2 linked regions of the Macaca fascicularis genome follow. The protein of the gene in region 1 interacts with the protein of each later gene in a pairwise test. Links are inferred from orthologs where the notes say so. Each region holds a gene or a part of one and is shown on either strand. Other genes may lie near its edges.

Evidence for each region. The genes of interacting proteins can lie anywhere in the genome.
Region 2: the proteins of MS4A12 (region 1) and PLLP interact in binary tests that used the Homo sapiens proteins (3 or more experiments, as listed by UniProt). The two-hybrid records come from large-scale screens. The link is inferred for Macaca fascicularis from reciprocal best matches to the Homo sapiens genes MS4A12 and PLLP.

The regions. Positions count from the first base shown.
Region 1 is NC_088388.1:13,728,918-13,733,251, forward strand, and holds the start of MS4A12 (membrane-spanning 4-domains subfamily A member 12), read right to left. Parts: upstream 2,906-4,334; coding exon 2,627-2,905; intron 1-2,626. UniProt on the Homo sapiens protein: May be involved in signal transduction as a component of a multimeric receptor complex.
Region 2 is NC_088394.1:53,367,868-53,370,179, reverse strand, and holds the end of PLLP (plasmolipin), read left to right. Parts: intron 1-731; coding exon 732-848; 3' UTR 849-1,670; downstream 1,671-2,312. UniProt on the Homo sapiens protein: Main component of the myelin sheath that plays an important role in myelin membrane biogenesis and myelination. Plays an essential function in apical endocytosis. Regulates epithelial development through the regulation of apical endocytosis.

The DNA.
Region 1 (4,334 bases):
GTGAGACCTTGTATCCAAGGTCATGCAGTTCCTGAGGGGCAGATCTGGGAATTTACCGCAGCACATTGACTGCTGAGCCTGTCTGAACTATTCAGTACTGTCTTCCCCCATGCTCAGCTCTGCTCTACCTCTTCCATGAAGCCCTCTTGATTACACCAAATTAATCTTTTTTCTTTTTTTCTAAATTTCTGTTGCATCTCATGACATAAAACACACCTTGTTACTTGATTTTGTATTCATTGATATTGTTCTCTTTTAAAAAGTTGCAGGTGTGCAATCATTTTCTTACCATTCTTCTTACCAATCATATATTACTAAAAGTAAGGTATGCATCTTTTAGCTCCTTGTACCTCTTATTGAACCTTCCTTCACTGTAAATAAAGATAGATTTCTGAGGAATAACCATTTCTAGATTGGTCCAAAAGTTGACTGTAGATTTGTCATTTATTTTTCCCCATGTTTACACCTTATCTATCCAGGAAGACTGCAAATACAAAGACTGCTGTATTTATTCAATAAAAAGCTACTGAACACAAGTAAATTGAATTAAAATAAAAAAACCCAGTTTTATAAACAATGCTAACAGTTTCTTGAGACTTTGATAAAAACCGTGAACCTTTCTCCCTAAAAAATTATTCTTGCACCTCCATACACACACATACCATACTTTTGCATATAGTTTCAGAGGCATGATGGGCCTCCTTTAGCCTATCTCACTTAAAGAACTCCTGTATTAGACTTTATATTTGGTTTTTACAACTCTTCTTTAGAGCAGCAATTTAGCCATCTGGCCACAAACTTCCCATCCTCATCCTTGCTGTCACCTTGATGAGGGACAGTTAGATCTGGATTTGTACTGGCCCTCATTTCTCCTCCTACAGCCCTGGCTGTACCATTTACTGATGAAAATTGCCTATAGGACACACTTAAAAATTTGGACATACAATTTGTCTGCATTTGTGGACACAGAAGCACTTTAAGGTCTGAGTTGACTGGTACAGGTGTGCCACGTCCTGCCACCTGTGGCCCCTGCACTGTCGTGATGCCTGGGGCCTGCTGATGGTATAGAAATAACAATCTTCAGAGAGAGGAAGTAGCTTCTGCCAACTGGAGCTTTAAACAAAACTTCATAGTCTTTTAAAGTATTTTTATCACACGCCTTTTTGGTGCCAGGCAGCGTGATTCAGTGGTTCGTCATCCACTTAGTCAAAGCCAAAGCCTTCTGCTCTGCAGGCCTCACCAGCTGTGGCCTCTGCCACTCCTCTGCCCTCCTGACAACTGCTCCCTCCCTCCCTCATTCTGTTCTATTTTATTGGCCTTCTCCCTGTTTTTCAAATACATCACAGATATTTTCATCTAAAGACTTTTACACTGGTTGTTTTCACTTTCCCTGATATCTGCAGGGCTCACTCCTAACTTCAGGTTTTTGCTCAAATGTCATGTTCTAAGGAAAGCCCATTCTGACTGCCTTGAAATTGCTGCCTCCTCACTGTCTGGTACTTTTTAGCCCTTTTACACTTCTTTGTTTTGTCCATATCATTCGACACCTTCTAATACACTAAGTACTTTACTTCCTTCTTATGTTTACAGTCTGATTTCCCCCACTAGGGCAAAAGTTCTGTAAAGGCAGAGATTGCACCTGCTTTGTACTCGGTGATATTTTCCAAGCACCTATGTGGGGTTGGCTGTATGGGGGGTTTGTCCCATTGGCTTATTAGAAGTGGGGAATTTCCTCTATCTGGGAGGAAGAGGATCAGAAGGGCCACCTCCACAGCTTAGTAAATAGGCTGCTGCAAGAGAACTTAGGCTCATTTTTACTTCCCTAAAACATCACAACTTGAAATAGGTAGTAAGATGACTAGAAGATTTTCTGGCACATAATGAGCATTCATTTACGGAATGCTCCAGCAGAGAATTTCAAGCTATTCACAGGGAGAGACTTAATATAGTTTGGTGGAATTGTACTAGCGGGATGAATGAGGTATTTGGAAAGCACAGCGAAGGGAGTAACAATTCTACCTAGGCAGGTGGAATTTTCTTACAAATAGGGCATTTTTGTTTTTACAATGCCTACAGAAACAAGGTGGTCAGTTCAGAGTCTCCTTTGTAGGAATAAGGTGACAGTTACGCTGTAGCATCTCTAAGGATATTGGCGAGAGAGGCACAACAGATGGAACGTCCCCCAATTCTTTCACACTCAGCCTTTCCCAGACTGCCCATTTGTAGTTTCCTTTTCTGGAGGCAGCCATCAATGTTCATTTTTATGTAAATTCACCTTTATGCAAATACCTGACTTGTAACCAATCTGGAGACGAGATTGAGATTGTCCAAAAAGTCCTTTGAAGAAATGAGATCAAGCTAGATGTAGTAGAGTTTCCGTCATGTCAATATTACCAAATCCTCCAGCTAGGGAGGCTCCTCTGTCTCCTGTTATATTTTTGCTTGATCTAAAATGAAATGAACTCAAGGGAAAGTCTATAGGCAGACTAAATATTTCTGTCTAAAAGGGATAGTTTCAGAATAACATTCAAAACTTTTTAGCAATTGGATGATATTCTCTTCTCCTATAACTTATAAGAAGACCTTGCAAATGTGAGTTTAAAATTCTAGTAGTAAGTAGACTTACCCCTAGTACCTTTGCTTCTTCTTTAAAGTTTATTACTGCTCTTCCCACGCTTGGATTTATCATTTGTGTATTTCCTTGACCTGGTTGACTGACAGCAGAGGTTCCTGGAGATGTGATGAAGTAGGGCTGAGCACTCTGAGCACCCTGAGCTTGGTTTTCTAAGTTGATTGAACCCGGAGGCTGTTGAGATCCAGGAGCCGTAAAGCTGCTTGGTGGGTAGTAAGGGTTGGGTGTGGTTTCATATACTCCAGCATGGCTTGTTGGCTTGGATGACACCATGATGTCCTAAGTATCACAAAACATACCAAAGTGATACGTTTATCCAGAAAAGAAACTAAAGAAAATCTTACCAAATATCAAATGTCAATTATCTATGATAATGGAGAGAGCAAGTGACAGATAATGGTCCATAACATCTGATAGAAACATGATTCTCATAAATCCCCAACCCCCAGGCCAAGGACTGTTACCCGTCCGTGGTCTGTTGGAAATCTGGCCACACTACATGAGGTAAGCAGCGGGCAAGCATTACTGCCTGTGCTCTGCCTCCTATCAGATCAACACGGCATTGGATTCTCATAGCAGCGTGAACCCTGCTGTGAACTGCACATGCTGGGGATCTAGGTTGCATGCTCCTTATGAGACTCTAATGCCTGATGATCTGAGGTGGAACAGTTTCATCCCGGACCCATCTCTCATTAGAGAGATGCTATGCTGCTGATTGTGAAGATGGAGGAAGGCGTCCATGAATCAAGGAATGTGGGTCACCTCTAGAAGCTGGATGAAACAAGGAAACAGATTCTTCCTAGAGTCTCCAGGAAGGAACCTGACTCTACTGACACCTTGACCTTAGTCTAGTGAGCTGGTATGGCACTTCTGACCTACACAACTGTCAGATAAAATAATATATTGTTTTAGGCCACTGTGTTTGTGGTAGTTTGTTATATCAAGAAATAGAAAACTAATACAGGGGCCAAGTAATACAATACTTGTATGGCAAAGAGGGCAGTCCAAGATTGAAATTATTTGCCAGTAATTGGGAAACTAGATGGTTCACATATGCCCATTTAAGATGATTCTCCTGTTCTTTAGGAAAAATGCTCTTACTCATTTCTGTCCTTCTGAAAGCTTAGAGCATCTCAGGCCCCATGTAGCCAAGGGAAATTTTGTTGGAAATAAGCCAATACAACTGGATATGGACAACAATGACTATTAATTCTTGAAAAAAAATTATGACACTTAAAAAATTTGTCATTAGCCTTAGATTCCTTTTTTTGAGGTCTTCTCAAATAATTTTTCATGTACTTATGAGTATCAAGAAAGTTACAGTGATGAATGTCTCATTCTTGGTATGAAGTATGAATACTATGAATAACCTATTGGTACAGTGTTTCACTGGTATCTAACAGGGACACATATTCAGACCCTGTGCTCATGGAATCCAGAAATTTTAGGGTAGGAAAGACCCTTTCCATTTATCCTGTCTCATTCCCCTTCATTTACAGATGAGAAATTGAAGCTGAGTCAAGTTAAGTGACATGCTCAAGGTTACATAGAAAACGTGTGGCAGAGTTAGGACTTGAAAATGGGATTCTTGGCTGTTGGTTCAGAATCCCCCTCCACCCCCAGTCATCCATACAGCATCACTGTAGCTTGTTTTCCAGGCCAGCCTTGGTGACAGGGTATTGACTCTGCTCCTGCAACTGCC
Region 2 (2,312 bases), on another chromosome or scaffold:
GGGAGATTCATAGGCTCTCCCGTGAAACCCAGACTCCAGGCCCACGTCAGGTGGCCAGTGAAGTGGCTGCAGTCCCCTCCACGCCTGTCACCCTTCACACCACCAGGCCCTGCACACCATCTCCTCCCAGGATCCTGTGACACCCACAGTGAGGGAGAGGAAGGGACTACCAGTCCTTTTTGACAGACAGGAGGCTCCCGCTCAGAGAGGTTGGACTCCGGGCCTGGAGCCACGGCCAAGCCCAGGGGAGGGCAGGGCCTCGATGGGCACTCATTTGGTTCCTTACTCTTCCTGATGAGGGCAGTTTTGAAATCAGCAAATTCAGTGATGGAGACAGAGACGGGGAGCTTCTGAATGTGGCTGCAGGTGTTAGTATAGAGGCGTGAACTGGTTCTAGAAAAATTCCTAGGCTGGCCTTTGAATGTTGTCTTTTTAGAACTAAATCCTTGCTAGATGTCCCCTCTGTCACTCTTATCTTGTCCTTCATTGTCCTTATCACAATCTGATAGGCCCCGCCTGTGGTTCTTAGCTGTTTCCCGTGCTTAGAAGGTAATGTTGGCATCCCAGGACCCTGGTGCTCATCAGCTCCATGATAAACAGCTGTGAAATGCATCTGGCTGAGTGTGAGATGGTGCAGCTGCCAAAACCCCTCCTGCCTGGCCTGAGATCTGGTTGGAGCTTGTGTCACTGTTACCCTCTTGGTCCTTACACCCTTCTCGCCTCTCTTTCAGTTCTTTGCATGTTTGGTGATGATCGCCTATGGAGTGAGTGCCTTCTTCAGCTACCAGGCCTGGCGAGGAGTAGGCAGCAATGCAGCCACCAGTCAAATGGCTGGCGGCTATGCCTAAACCACCTGTGCCACGGCCCTCTCTGGGGCTGAAGCCGCCGCTGGGTCACAGAGCAGGGTCACCCTGCAAGCCCGAAGCTGGGGAGCCCTGCGCGGAGTCAACCTGACAGCGACTGCACTTGCTCCTCTCTGCCCATCAGACACAAGCTCTCACAGCGCTAAGGAAGCAGGCCCAGGCTGGCAGGCATCTGGGCTTGCAGGAGGCCAACTGCTGAGACCTCCTCTCCATCCCCCTTATTCAGTGGAAGGTGACGGGGGATCTGAGGCTGTGTCTCTGCCTTGTCTTTAGAGGACTTCAGCGTCCAAGACTGGGGCCTACCCTTCTCACCAGCACTAAATGCACTAACAAGGACTCCTGACCTGCAGCCCCAGACTCGCCGTAGTATAAGCCTAACAAGCAACATGTAGCACCTTAGTCTTCGTTCCAGGAGAGCTGAGCAAGCTCGTGAAACCATTCTCCTTCCTTTAAACACCGTTCCAACCAACCTCTCCCTGGAGCCAACCTGTAAAAAGTGGGTTATGATTGTTGACCGCATGGTCTTCCCTCCCTGCATTTTAGACATACCAGTTACTGAAAACAAATCAGTTTTAAGTGACTTCTCAATGCTGAAAAGCCTGTCCAGGTTTCCTTCACTTTCCCAAGCCTCTCTCTGTAATACTCCCTTTGGGCGAAGCTAACCTCAGTGCTGACTGCCTCCCTGACCCTGCTGACTAGGCACATGGGACACGAAGGAGGGAGGGAAGTGAGGCCTTGCCTGGCAAGTTGTCATGTGGTTGGTGGTGACTGTTTTATTTTTTTTTAATAAAAAGATAAGAGAAGTTATTTGGACAAGATGTTGGGGAATCACTTTTGCAGGTGCTTGTAACCTCCAGGAGACCTCAGCTTGACTGTAGAAGATGCCTGCTGTAGGGCAGTTCATGTTCCGGAGTCGTTCAGCACCACCTGCCAACTCTTTGACCAGAGGAAAGCTGCTTATACTTCCTGCTTGCTGGGTCTAGAACAGTCCTGGTTTATGCTGTTTGTGCTGGCATAAGTAGAATAGCACGGCCTTTTATTCTCACAAGTGATTCAATTTGACAATAACTTAGTCACCCTTGCTTTGAGCAGGTTAGGTGAGCTTACTAAATGAAAGATTTCAATAATATCACCTACCTTGAAGGTCTGTGAAGCTTGGAGGTCATATAATCAAGGTGGCTGGCCATGCTGCCTGCTCAGAGCTGGTAGAGACAGCAGAGGAAAGCAACCGAGTACTCCTGAGCTTATTTTTCTAAGACCACAGAGCAACGTTCTCTGAACAATAAGGTAAAAGCATTTCTAGGCACCCTCTGTACCCTTTTTATTTGTTCTTTTATTTTTATTTTTTGGAGATGGAGTCTCACTCTAGCACCCAGGCTGGACTGCAATGGCACAATCTTGGCTCACTGCAACCTCCCCCTCCTGGGTTCAAGAGATTCTCCCACCTCA